2 linked regions of the Stegostoma tigrinum genome follow. The protein of the gene in region 1 interacts with the protein of each later gene in a pairwise test. Links are inferred from orthologs where the notes say so. Each region holds a gene or a part of one and is shown on either strand. Other genes may lie near its edges.

Region 1 (7,008 bases):
ACAAGGACACAGGGAAAAAGCAGGAGGTTGGCATTAGATAATGATGCTCAGTTAAAAAGCCAGCATGTACATGATGGGTTAAATAGCCTCCTTTTGCACCAGATCACTTCTACAATTCTGTAAACATGAGGTGGCTGATGACAAATTTACGTGTAGTATTTAGTACAGTGATGCATTATAATTCCTTCTATAAAATTAGATAATTGCTGCAGTACAGCAAATTTTCCACCTCTGCTTTATGATCGAAAGAAGCTAAATATAAATACAGGGCTCAAACATTTTGAAGTTCTTGATTTCTTTTTGTTTAGTTTTGGACATTAAACTTTGACAATGATTCCTTTGAATTGCGTTCAGTTCTTAATAGAATGGTGCATAACATTTCACAAGCAACAACTTTTGGAAATTAATAGAAAATTTAAAAATATGCTTTTCAAGAATAAAGACAGATATCTGCAAGTATTATCAAGTTAATTCTGTTGCACAACTACTCAGTCGGTTTGAATGTTTGCATTGAAAATGATATTTTGTGTTTTGGAGGTGTCTTTTCTGTTGCCCGGAAGCCAGTTTTTGGTATATTATGTTTCATCACGTCTTTTGTCATTTCATGAAGAAGCAGCTCCCTGGATTCACCATCTGTAACGTAAAACCAACCAATTCGCCGTAATCAGTGTGCTCAGAGTCCGTTCTGTCTTTAAAAGGCAATGCAACATCGAAGCTACATGAGAAATTAATCTCTGTGTACATCTAAAGGCAAAGTTAAACAAATAACTCTCAAATACACGGATTGATCTTTTATTTTTGGCACTGACAGCTTTGCTTTGAGCCAGGAGAAACTAATGGACAGATTGCCTGATACTTTGAAATCAGTGAGTAGTTAAATATGTGGGTGGAGAGGGCAGGAGAGCTCAGTCCATTAGGCCACTTCAACCATACGTTATAAGCACTCAATCAGACTGGCAGCCCTCGCAACTCTAACGATTCAATATTTCTGCCACATTCGCGTTTTTATGTGGTAAAGTTGACCCTAACTTCGTGCAAACCGATGAGAAATGTAACCACGCTTACCACAGAGCTTTGTTCCGATGCCGCCAGTGAACTTTTGAGCTATCTGACACCAGGCTGGGGCTGTGAAACACAAAGTATTAGAATTGTATTAAGTTCTACTTTTAATTTTGAGTCAACCTTTTGCTTCAATTTCGAGAAGAAAATATGTAACTTCAGTTTAGTCTGAATCAGTCATAGAAAAGCTAATGTGATGGGGCAACTTGTACACAAGATACAATATTGTTGTGGATATTCCTGTGGAAAAAAAGAACGTGTATTGACACCTGTCTGTGAACAACAGCGGGAATTCATGGAGTGTGCAATAAGACGGCGACATCAATGGTGTTTAAGGGTGTTAGACGTGCACATATGATGGACCAAAGCTGTAGCACCCTTCAAAAAATAGTCACATAAAAACTATAAATCAAAGCAATGTCTCCCACACGTTTTTAAAGTTCTGAGTGTCTAAATCAGATCATTTTGTTCAGTTTCCCTCTACTACACAGCCCTGGACTTGTATGATTGCAATAGACAAGCTTCTTTAAGACATTATTTGTCAACAGTTCAGTAAAGCTTCTGAAATTTGTCATTTTTATAAAAGCTGAGATAATTTTGCCTTGAAGGTTTTAGCTGGAGGTGACAAATATCCAGTATGCCAATTTGAAGAAATGTATACAAAATCAAAACAAAACCTGTTTTAATCAAAATAAGCTTCCTATCGCAGAAGTAAATTATTACTTTTAGATTCTGTCGATTTCTTTCGTATCGTTTGGGTCATTTCACCCAAAAAGTAAACAACTAGCTTTATTCGCCAAACAATCCAAACCCATTAAGTTTGCTGTCACTGAACTGTAAACATAGAGCAAATCCATTTGAGAGAAAACTGCTCAATAAAATTCAACGTGCATTTTATTACTTCGAAATCCAGTTCTCATGAGAATGTCTACTTTGTCCTGTCATCCAGGGGACAACAGTTTTCAAACCGATCGGTGCTTTGAGGTTTTCCATTCCTTGAACTCATCCCCCTCCCCTCCCTTCTCTGCCTCCCCGCCTCTTTTAATATCTTCCTACACGTGTTGCCTTTCATTTACCTGCAGTCGAATTGTCTCCGGCACTGGTTCGCTGTGCCGACTCGTTCGAGAAGAACCCGAGAGATGCCATTTCCACGCTGGGTTGATTCGAGAGGTTGGAGCTGCTGGAGACGTGGTAGCGCTTATCATCCGGAGCTCAAAGCCACGTCCAAGCAGGAGGGAGCAATCCTGGACCTGGTGCAGAACCTGTCGGAACGGAGTTGTCCCAGACCTAGCGCTGAACCTGTCCGGCTCACACCAGCACCTGTCTGTAGGGAGCTGTCCGGGATGTGGTGCTGAATCTCTCGCTCTTGCACACGAGCCCCTGTTTGCAGGGAGCTGTCCGGGACGTAGTGCTGAACCTCTCCCTCTCTTACAAGCTCCTGTAAGGAGGAAACTGCCTTACACCCTGGTGATGCTTGTCACACAGCGCGGGACAGTGCTGCTTCTCCCAGCCACCAGCTAACAAGACTGGGGGAGGGGGGAAGGGGAGGAGGAGGAAGGGAGCTCACTGGTTGAGACTTGCTCACACTCCGTCAGATATTCCTTGGGAAAAGGCTCCAGGGTTTCCTTTTCCTTTCCCAAAGCGCTAATCAATCTCGATCTGAGCTACTTTGCATCGAAATCTGGCGCTTTGGGCATCTGCGTCACTTTGGCGCGCAAAAGGGCAGAGGTAGAGAAAGGCGGGACGGTACGGTAGACTGCTTCAGAAATATATTCAGAGCTGAAACACAAACTTTCTTTCTCTGGAAAGGTTTTGGTGGAAGGGGGTAGGAGTTGGGGAGGGGGTCTTTTCAATGTTTTGACGTAATCCGGGGAAGGGTGGGCTGTGGATCTGAATGAGTCACTCTTTCAGTCAGTATGAAGAGACGTGGTCGCCGGAGCATGGGATGCGGGCAGGAGTCACGAGTCCGTCGTGGATGACAACACTGGCATTCCGCCCCCACCCCCCACCCCACAGCGTGGCGAGACCTCACTCCCTCCCTCCCCGCCTCTGTCTCCTGCTGTGCAAGCTCACGTCAGTCACAGCTGCCACAGCCAGAGAGAGAGAGAGCGAGAGAGTAGACAGCTACAGACAAAGACCCCATGCACTCCAGCCTCCAGTGACAAGCAGCGCTTTCCACACGGCGCTTGCTGCAAGTGGGCGACATGCTTTGTCATTGTAATTACAGCCTGTATGGGAAATCTCAATGTGAACTCCCTGTTCGTGATCTGGCATTGTGCATCAGACAAAGATAACAATAGATACGTGACTTTACCAATTTTTACGATCTGCGTTTCCTTTCAAGGAAAAGGGCCGGTAGTGCGACACTTCGTACTTATTTCCTATTCAGGTGCACCGAAAAATTCCTGCTCCGATTAAAAACAAGTTTAACATTTTTCAAATCGAATTTCTTGTGCTGGGTGAGCCGGCACAGTCACAAGACATTTATGCAGTGTTTTCATGTACAACCGTAAGCAATATTGATGCATTTTGGGAAGAACCAGTGTTTATATATACCAGTGTAAAAAGGCTAAAGCAAATGTTTAAATTGAACAAACAGCTGGCTTCTTGAGTACCCATCTCGTTCAAATGCTATTGTTAGCTCTGCAGTTCGTGACTTGAATGTTTTTAAAACACGAAATTCCTTCATGCACACACCACAAATGAAGTCGCTTGGAATTCACAAAGCATTTTACAGGTGGCAAATGACAGGAAAATGCAGAGAAAGCTCATCGACCTTAAGACTCTGTTTTACTCGGGACTTCTGAGCCCTGAGGGTTGCGGAGTACAGGAACACTTCTGGCCTTCTTTCCAATGCTGGCAGTGGGATGGACTAAATTGTTCTTCTGGGGCCAGCTCCTCACCAGCCACCAATGAACACACTTTCTGATGGACGATGGTGGGAGGCACCCAGAGCCGGCAGCTCAAAACTTGACAAACTACACTGACAGGGGGCAATTCACTATGGACAGATTAATGAAATATCAGAGGAGCATTCAGGGTAAATTTCTCTAGATGACTCATTGGGGACAATGTTTTCCTGCCCTTGCACTTTTTTTAATGGCAGGATGGAGTCTTCAGGTCTGTTAATACCAACTCCTCCCTGCCCATTAAGTTGGTGGCAGTCAACTTCTCCACTTCTTCCACTCTCCACTGTAATCAAGACAAGATCAGGAAAATCACCACAAATTGTGATCTCATTCAGTTTCATTAGCCTGTGTCCATTCAGCAGTCAATGCACATACTATCCTACTCCCAGGCTCCTCTCTTTTCCAATTTCCTTTTCAAATAATGTGTAAAAAAATCACTGGTCAAAACTATTCATGAAGTTAAAATTCAAAAGTGTTAGGAAATAGCCCAGAAAATTAAACACTGATGAACTTCTCAAAGTAATTAAAATATGATTGTTGCATTTTATTCCATTTTGCACTCTCATTCAGATAGCTGAGAAAAGGCAATGACTTGGCCATTTGCCTTTCAAGGTGATGAAAATTTGGAACAGATCTGAGGAAAGTGATCAATCTGAATGGTTGAGCAGAAACTTAAGAAAAATGTGAAAATGGGCCCAGAGTTCCATGTTCGATTGGTTCCCTGATATATTCCCATGTCTGAGTAATCTGTACACAGGGAGGTGTGTCCAGCATCAATGATTTGCCTGGCAGAAACAGAGAACTGATCAGCAGTAGCCAGGCGTTGACTTACAGGCAATTTTGTAGCACTGCCAGAATTTACTAATGGCCGATGAGCCCCCACTGAGATTAAAGGAGATTGGAGTAGACAGTCCGGTGAAGCCACTTCTAATTGTCCACTTCCTCTAACCTTCCCACAGATGGTCCAACAGCCTGGCTATATATGAACTGGTTTCCTCAGAAGGCACCTCCATCTTGAGATACCATCACAGCTCACAGCCGAGAGTGACAGTTCTCATCTTGCCCAGTCAGGTTGCTGGCCACCTAAAGACTTTAGCTCTTTGAATAGCTCTTTTCTTAATATAATGGGGCTTTCAAAGGCAATTTCTTAACTGGCTTCATAGGGAAATTTACTAGATTAGCAGGATGAACTGATAATGTTGATTGGATAGTGCATTTGTCTTTGATGGTGGGTTCTGCACAGAGATCCTGTCTCTCTCTTCGCCTGACATGCTGGGTGTTCTTCTGATTTAATTCTAATTTCCAGGTTCCATAATATTTTACTTTATATTAGAGGCTCTAATTTAGTAAGGCACAATATGAGATTGATGCATTTTGGGTTAAAATTTTACAATTTAGTTTATTTCCTGAGCATTTGAAACATTTTTCTATTTAAATTACTATAACATGAGTCAACTGATTTCACTCACTTCTCCATATGGAAAAATTAATATTTGGCTTTATGTTTTCACAAAGAACATTAAATATGCTCAAAGGAAAGTTTCAGATAATGATTCAACACAAAACATTTTACTCCTAGATTACACTCAAGTAACCTACTAACACAAGTGTTATTGCTGTTACTGCACAGTATGAACATATGTACAATAGTGAGCTTATAGGAGAGTTCCAGAAATGTATGTAAACAGTACATAATTTAAAAAACCGCAAGGTTAAAAGTTAACACTGCTCAATAAGACGATTCCTTTGGGACGTTTTTCGTAGCAATTTCCTATAGTCATATGGGTTATCTTCATCTTGACAGCCTTCTTTTGGAGCTGATGAGCTGATTGAAATAAAATGCAATAATTAGCAGTATATTTACCACAAGCAAGAATGCACATGATTGGAAATGTTTAATCAACTATATGCTTATGTATAACTCAGTCATAATAATACCATTTTTTAACTGGATGGTAGACATTAAGAAACATCAATCAATGAAAAATTCTGGAAAGAAAATGGAATGAAGCTAGACCAGGATTAGATATCATGTCTGTTATTGTTTGAAAATAAATTGAGAAACATCTATCAGAGTTAAAGTTGATATGAATTGAAATTGGGAGAGGGAGGCAGGGAGTAGAAGGGGTCTCTTTTGGTGCAGCAGCAGTGTCCCCACCTGTGAGCCTGAAGGCCCAGGCTCAAGTCCCACCTTCTACAGAGGTGTATAGGCTGATTAGAAAATATTTAAACAAACATTGGTGATGCTGGACTATGACAGGGAATTCTCGTTGGCAAGCACATTTTCACATGTATGAATCAGAGCTATTGATACAAACAAAATAGGATGAAAGGAAATACTGATAGCACAATCCAGATAAAAGCGAAAACAGATAATCTGATCAATTTTTAGAAACATGGATAGATAATGTTTGCTCTCTACCTCCTATTGGGAAACAGAAGCAATTTTGGTCAGCTACTTTATGGTCTGGCATTTTGTCTATGTTTTCCTAACTGTGTTTCATGACTCTCACATAGTAGTAGCAGCATATAGAAATGACAGAAGGAAAATCATCAACATCTGTTCACAAGATAGGAGTAAGGCTGATTTTGGAGCAATAAATGACAGAAAATAAAGATTGCACTAGGAATTTGCTTTCAGGTGCAATAGATACAGAGCTACTACAAACAAAAAGCTATCTGAAATGTCAGATATCAGAAACAACCTAGATAGTATTGCAGATTGATCAGCACTTGAATGGGCCGGATGGGATTTATCTTAGGATCTTCTGGGAAGCCAGGGAGGAGATTGCCGAGCCTTTGGCATTGATCTTTAACTCATCATTGTCTACAGGAATAATGCCAGATGTGGTTCCCCTGTTCAAGAAGCAGGGTAGAGACAACCCTGGTAATTATAGACCAGTGAGCCTTACCTCAGTTGTTGGTAAAGTGTTGGAAAAGGTTATAAGGGATAGGATTCATAATCATCTAGAAAAGAATAAATTGATTAGGGATAGTCAGCACGGTTTTGTGAAGGGAAGGTTGTGCCTCACAAACCTTA
Region 2 (7,979 bases), on another chromosome or scaffold:
TCCAGCTCATGTGCACCCCCAGCATGCAAAGGTATGACATCTTTTTCACCTTAAGACTGCAATTGTTCCAATTTTCTGACCTGAAATGTGAACTTTACAAAAAAATCCTGATTTCTTGTAATATATTTTCAACAGATACCAACTACTTCCTGTGAGCAATACTGGTTGCTATGCATTACTATAAAATCTGGAAAATTACCGAACTCAAGTCATTGTTTCGAATTAGCTGTCAGAAAGGCTTAATTATTTAGCCTGCCCTGGTTCTGCCTTTGTATGTGATAAGATTTTCTATTTCAGTACAGCAGAGATGATATATGTGTGTGGGATGTTGGGGAGGGTGAGGGCAGAGATTTGTGAAAACTATTTATAATCATGAGGGAGAGCTTGAACATGCCCTGCTGATACAGTGGCAATATTAATGAGAAACTTTTAAATGGAAATAACATCTAAAATGGGTCTTAAAGATTTCAAGTGAGGAAATCTGAATATTTCCTTACACATCCTGTTCCAATACTGCAAGATTGTCCAGGAAAAGGAAACAAATTGGTTTGTGCGCATATCCACCCCAACCAGAGGGTACCAGAATGCATATGTACCAATAAGGAATAAAAGTAGGCTATTTATCGAGTCATAGTATCATGCAGCATCGAAACAGACCCTTCGGTCCAGCTGGTCCACGCCAACTAGCTCTCCCAAACTAAACTACTCAAATTTGCCTGCATTTGGCTCACAATCCTCTAAACCCTTCTTATTCATGTGCCCGTCCAAATGTCTTTTAAATGTTGTAACTGTACCTGAATCTACCTCTTCCTCTGGCAGATCATTCCCACTGTGTGAAAAAATTGCCTTTCAGGTCCTTTTAAATAATTCCTCTCTCACCGAAGGGTCCCAACCTGAAATGCCAGCTTTCCTGTTCCTCTCATGCTGCCTGGCCTGCTGCGTTCCTCCAGCTCTACGCTGTTTTATCTCTGATTCCAGTGTCTGCAGTTCTTGCTATCTTAAAAATATGCCTTCTAGTTTTGAACACCCCTACCATAAAGAAAAGACCTTTGCTATTCACCTTATCTATGACCCTCATGATTTTATAAACCTCTATATGGTCACTCCTTAGCTTCCTATGATCCAATGTGAAAGTCCCAGCTTATTCAACCTATCCTTATAACTCAAATCCTCCAGTCTTAGTAACATACTTGTAAGTTTGTTTTTGTATCCTTTTCCAATGTAATAATATCCTTCTTATTAGCAGGGCTACCAGAATCGTACGTAGTACTCCAAAAGTGGCCTCACCAATGTCCTGTACAACCATAACATGATGTCCCAATTTCTATACTCAATACTCTGACCAATGAAGGCAAGCGTCCCAAATAACTTCTTCACCAACCTGTCTAAATGTCACACCCCTTTCAAGGAGCTATGTACTTGAACCTGTAAGCCTTTCCAGTGTTCGACAACACTCTCCAGGCCCTACCATTAACTTGGCCCTTTCAGCCTGCTCCACCATTCCATAAGATTAAGGCTGATCTGATTTTAACCTCAACTCCAGATTCTTGCAGACCCCGATAATCTTTCATTCCCTTGGTCATCAAGTATCCAGCTACCGCCTCCTCAAACAACATGTAAAGATTCTGGGATAACAAAACGTGAGGCTGGATGAACACAGCAGGCCAAGCAGCATCTCAGGAGCACAAAAGCAGACGTTTCGGGCCTAGACCCTTCATCAGAAACTCCTTTTGGATAAAAGTAATTTCAGAGACTCTCACTCATTTCACCTCCACCAACCCCCCCCCCCCCCCAACCCCGTCCATTTTAAATGAGTGATCTGTTATTTTTAAACCGTGACCCCTAGTTCTAGATTCTCCCACAAGAAGAAATCGTCCACCAGGTCAAGTTCTCTCAGGATCTTACATCTTAGAAATCATCTTTGACTCTTCTAAACTCCAAGGCCTTGTTGTTTCCGTCAACTCCCATTGGTCCGCTGCAGATTTTAAACAGGAAATCCCTGGATCCCCGGACAATTTGTCATCAATCTCCCCGAGACCAAGACATCTCCTCGGGAGCTGGATGCATCCTCCACGCCGGGGCCCCGCATAGCAACTGGAGGAGGGGCGCGTAGCAACGGGAGGAAGGGGCCTCGCTTAGCAACGGGAGGTAAACCCCTTCCTCCCTTAGCAACCGGCTCCGGGACCGGACGATGGCGGTGGTCGGTGCCGGGAACAGACAGCGCTGAAGCCCGAAGGAGTCACTCAGATCCTTGGCCTCATAACGTCGACATTTAACCCACCTTCTTCCTCCTTCGGGGTCGCTGAGGCCTAGCTATTCCCCATCCCCACCTCCCGGCCGCCTCGAGCTGTGGTCTGTGGGGGGAGGAACAGTCCGCTCTGAGTCCCCTCCGCGTATTTCACTTTGACACAAACCGACGGAGAAACCAAAAATAAAAATGCATCCCGAGCCCCGGAAGCTGAGGTGTCGATGTTCCGGATTCCGAGGGCCGGACGAATGTGTTCTGCTGTTTAAGAGAGCTCGCAGTACAGCAGGGTAATGTCAGAAATATTGTTAATATATTTTCCATTCTGTTTGATCCTTGATGTGCTGTGTCCTTCTTTAAAATGGAGGAGACACTTTTTCTCTGATGACACTGCGGCTCAAGGCATTATTTGCTTAGGGAATTCTCATTTTCTTCATTCTCCCCTCATTTTCCTCTCACTCATTCTCCCCCTACCACCCATTTGAGAATTCTACTCCCATTTGGTTTAACTTCCTCGCACTGTCGCTCCCATTTCTCCCAATTTTCTCTTTGTACATTAGAATTCTCACCCATTTCCCCTATTTTCATTCCATTTGCGAATTAATTTCTATTTATTTCCAATTTCCTCTCACTTATGGATTTCTACTTCGCATTACCTCCAAACACTGAGGGAGACGGCAACATTGTCTGTCGGCTGCCATGTGGCCCCAAGGTGAACTTGGCAACAGACACCGAATCCAGTGATCCACACAGAGGTAACAAGAACCTGCACCACAGGATTGGTCTTAAGCTGGCAGCAAAAGTGCACCATCTGAAATTACCCCAGGCCTAATCGTTTTGTTACATGTTCATGATCCTGTGCCGATGGAAAATATTTGATTACAGCCTCATAAAATCTGTCCCCAATGGAAGATGATTGAAACTAACGTATAAAGACAAAGTCTTTGAAAAATTTGCATTTATACAACATCTTATCACATTTATCAAGATACGTTTTGAAGCACTTCACACATAGTAAATTACTTCAAGTAAAATAAAAGTTTGCAATCCAGACACTTAGACAAGTACTGCCACTGTTTTTCTTTGATTAAAGCTGTACAACTTTTAAAAGTTTGTTTTCTGGGAGTCAATTGTGAAAAAATAGTTCCTTGTTCCAGAGATTGCTCTCTCGCCACCCCCTTTGAATAATGGGCACTGTTCTCTTGTTCTTTCTTGGCCTGAAACTAAAAGAAACATAGCCCTATTAGATAGCAAGAACTGCAGATGTTGGAGTCAGAGATAACAAAGTGTGGAGCTGGAGGAACAGGAAAGCTGACATTTTGGTTCGGGACCCTTCTGAAGAAGGGTGCCAACCCGAAACGTCAGTTTTCCTGCTCCTCTGATGCTGCCTAGCCTGCTGTGTTCCTCCAGCTCCATGCTTGGTTATCTATAGCCCTATTAGATATTGGAATTACCATGAGTCATTACTTTGCATCTTTAGTCACCGCATGACAGACATTGCTGCAATGCAGCTGACCTGTGCTACATATCGGGCACCTACTAACACATCCCTTATGGAGCCATGTACACCTGTCCCTAACAGCAACAGAACGGGAGGAAAGATCCACAATTGTCATGTTGCATTTTATCTACTTGATTGGAGATTGAAATTGCATTTTCTCAATTTTCATGTACTCCCACCACACTTAACCTCTCTGTTCAGAAATAATCAGAAGTGCTTTAAACCGAATAAGAATATTACTACAGCAAATTGGGTCTGTTTCACTATTAGGCAAAACTGACTTGGTGGTGGTATTCTCTTCTCTGAGGCAAAAGGTTCAAATTCAACTCAAAACACTTGAAAGACTAATCTATGCTGACACATCAATGTACTACTGAGAGTATGTTGTGCAATTGAAGATTCTATCTTTTGAAAAATACTGAGGCACCCTCTGTCCATCTCAGGTGGACTTTAGATTTCTCAGGGAAAAGACAAGATCATAATAGTGTCCTAGCCAATATATATTCCTCCACCAGCATCTGAAATTAATAATTGTACTTTTTTTCCTTGCTATTAGTGGAATATTTCTGTGCACAAATCAGCTGCCATGTTTCCCCATGTTGCTGTATTGACTAACTTCAAAAGTACTTAATTGGCGGTAAAACACTTACTGCATCCTAGGATTGTGCAAGATGCTATATTATTGCAAGTTTTTCGAATTGAATTTGTGGATTTTTTTTGTTGCGTCAGGGGAAAAGAAAGCTGATTTGAAAACACTTAATACTACTGTTTGGAATCAATAAACTAAATAATTTCTAAAATTATTGAATCATAATCAAATATGTGATTATATACTTAGAAATTCTTTGGAGCTAGGATTCATTCTGCCTGAGTCCAGTGAAAGACATTTACTATACTCTTGCAAAAACAACTTGAGCATGTGTTTTAATGAAGAATGACTCCAATGAAAAGAGAGAGAACTATCAAAGAGAAAGCATTCTAAACTCACAACCCACAACAAATGTAATTAGTACTCCATTGCCTTCAATTGCAATGAAACAATACTACAAAGGAATATTATGAACTGTTAGGTACAGTTTTTACCACAACCTAATTAATATCAGTATGTTTCACTGTAAACATGGTTAGAGCATGCACATTTTTTATCTCACTCATGTGTTGCATGGACCTTAGCCTGTGGGTTGTAAATTGTATACTGCAGATCATAATGATTTTATTGCAAATAATTAAATTATGGCTGTTGTGCACAACCAAATATCCATTTGAAAGATATGTATAATACAGGTGTAATTCGTGTTGCTGTAGTTTGATTTTGGGTTCACCAATGCACAAAGTGTGCAATGGGGCTTAACACCACACAGACCAGCACCATGTCAAATGACAGCTTAAAATATAACAGTTCACTAATGGAAAGGGAAGGAAACTGCCATCCTCACCTCATCTGGCCTACATGTGACTCCTGACCCACAGCCATGTGGTTGAGTCTGAACTGCCCTCTGGGTAATTAGGGATAGGCAATAAATACTGCCTAGCCAGCGATGCTGCCATCCCAGTAATGAATTTTTAAAAAGTGGCTTGAGGAAACTGGCATGCAGCATTTCTGCTAAATAACTGCAGCATTCTCAGTAGCTAAAATCACAGTGCGGGGATTTATAAGAGTATTAGACTCATAACCAGAATTCTAACTGTTGAAATTGATTTTATTGCAAATTTGTCTAAGCAGTGTTGAAAAGTGTGGATGCTTACAAATAAAGCATAGTATGGGAAAGGTGCCAGTGTAGTTGGACTCAAGGAAAATTATGTCATGTTTTATAAAATGGGCTAACTACTAGGAAAATTGTGTCATGTTTTATAAAATGGTCTAACTAGCAGTAAAAAGCCAAGACCTTGAGGCTGGCTGTAAGAATTGCTTGTGTATGTAAAAACTCATGATTGCAATGTCAAGGTCCCTCTAAGAAATAGTATCTTGTAGCTTTGAGGTAAAAGACAGTCATACACAGTTGATGTGACAACATTATGTAATGTGTGATACCATACCATTATGTGTCAGGAAAGTGGGCCCTCACATAGGACTGAAGGTAACTGAGATGGGGAAGGGATTGATTGGATAAATGCCAAAGTAAAGGGGATCCTGCCTTTGTTTCTATGAAGCAGAGAAAACTAGAAAATAAAGAGAGAGACAAGGGAGAGGAAAAAAGTGGGAAACATAAGAAAAAGTTAAAGACTGGAAGTTGAATGAAGTGAAGTAATTGTGTATTTCTCATTCAGTACATGAATTTTGAATTATTGCTGTAGCCTAAGTGAAAACTAATAATCTTTGTTCTGATTTTATCTAATTTCCAGAATGATTGTTTTCAGAACTTAAACTTTTCAGGTCCACAACTTCCCCTCTCCAACTGAAAATAGGGATTGAATAAAGGCCCAGAATTGGAGTACAGATATATCTTGGGAGGGTTGTAGTGCTGGAAGAGATTATGGTGGACCAAGGTTTAGAAGGATTTGTGAAATTGAAAATTGTGAATTCAAGGCATTGCTGGACAGTAGGCGTTGTAGATTAGGGAGCTCAATGGTGATCGGTGAACAGGACTTGATGCATCAGGAAATGAACAGCAGAGTTTTGGATGATCTCAAGTTTATGGAGAATAGAACATGGAGGGGTTGACCTGGAGCTTGTTGGAATTACTTAAGTATAGTGGAAACAAAGACATGGATGAGAGTTTCAGCAGCGGATAGGTTGAGGTAGGGTGGACTTAGGGTGACAGTGTGGAGATGTATGTGGTGGTCTTATTGATGGTGTGGAATGTGGCCAGAAATCACAACACATCAGTTTTGTGATTGAATATTCTACCTCAGACAATTATATAGAGCGATAGAATCTCTTGTGAGGAAGTTTGTTACAGGCACTGACAATAATAGGTGTGTTCTTACCAGTATTTTGTTGGGAGGAGATGTCTGCCATCCAATACTGAATATAGGACAGATAGCCCAACCATTCAGAAACAGTGAAGGGATGATGAGGCTGGGTCAAGTGATATTGGCATGCACACGGAAGTAGACCCTTGTTTACTGAAGGACTGCATATCAATGAGAAATGACAGGGGACCAAGCATAGATTTTTCAGAGTCACAAAATGTGATGAGGAAGAAACAGGTGGAGAAACTATTCCAGGTGAATTTCTGGTTATGATTGGATAGGTAAGAACAGATCTTGACTGTTGTCCAGCCTCCCTCAGCTGGACAACAGTGGGGGAAAGTAGTGTAATCGACCACGTCAAAGCTGCAGATGGCTAGAGAAAAACAAGGACCTTTGTCGTGGTAGCATTGGGTGTCGTTTGTAATATCAAAAAGAATTTGGTTTCTGTGACAGTGAATTTTCATTGATTACATTATGTATTTTTCCTTAAAATAACTCACTAATAACTCAGACAACAAGCAAAATGAACGTCATTTACAAAATACCTTGCAAGAACTGTGACAAACACTACATTGGACAAACAGGCAGAAAGCGAGCCACCAGGATGCATGAACATCAACTAGCCACAAAAAGACATGACCCACTATCACTAGTATCCTTACATGCAGATGAGGAAGGACACCACTTTGATGGGGACAACACATCCATCCTAGGACAAGCCAAACAGAGACACGCACAAGAATTCCTAGAAGCATAGCATTCCAACCGGAACTCCATCAACAAACACATTGATTTGGAGCCCATCTACCACCCTCTGAGAAAAACAACAGGAAATGACACCATCAACACAGGAAATGACATCACCAACCCAAGGAAACCTAAACAGATAAATAGAAAGCGGGACATAACACCAGCGCTTCACCCACTGGGTGGCCCACTGATGATGGTAATGAAAGGTCTGAAAACGAACCTTCCAGCTCAGCGAGCAAACTTACATCCAGAACCTCAACCTGAGCTACAAATCTTCTCAAAACTTGCTATAACTAACTAAAGTTCCTTCAACAGCAGCTTCCAAACCCAGCACTTGAGAGACAAGGGCAGGAGATATGCTGGAACACTACCACCTGCAACTTTCCCTCCAAGTTGAAGCTGCACACTGTCCTGACTTGGAAATATATTGCTGTTCCTTCAGTGTCACCGGGTCAAAATCCTGAAACTTCCTCTCTAACAGTGCTGAAAATGTCCCTACACCCAAGGACTGCAGCAGTTCAAGAAGGCACTTTGCCACAACCTTCTACAGTAAATGCTGGCTTAGCCAAT

The links. The genes of interacting proteins can lie anywhere in the genome.
Region 2: the proteins of gad2 (region 1) and lipid droplet assembly factor 1-like interact in binary tests that used the Homo sapiens proteins (3 or more experiments, as listed by UniProt). The two-hybrid records come from large-scale screens. The link is inferred for Stegostoma tigrinum from reciprocal best matches to the Homo sapiens genes GAD2 and LDAF1.

The regions. Positions count from the first base shown.
Region 1 is NC_081355.1:122,691,333-122,698,340, reverse strand, and holds the start of gad2 (glutamate decarboxylase 2), read right to left. Parts: upstream 3,034-7,008; 5' UTR 2,206-3,033; coding exon 2,136-2,205; intron 1,126-2,135; coding exon 1,066-1,125; intron 1-1,065. Other genes in the region: myo3a (myosin-IIIa), read right to left, coding at 5,688-5,793. UniProt on the Homo sapiens protein: Catalyzes the production of GABA.
Region 2 is NC_081376.1:49,103,053-49,111,031, forward strand, and holds the start of lipid droplet assembly factor 1-like, read right to left. Parts: upstream 3,025-7,979; 5' UTR 2,902-3,024; intron 2,613-2,901; exon of another isoform or gene 1,811-2,612; intron 1-1,810. UniProt on the Homo sapiens protein: Plays an important role in the formation of lipid droplets (LD) which are storage organelles at the center of lipid and energy homeostasis. In association with BSCL2/seipin, defines the sites of LD formation in the endoplasmic reticulum.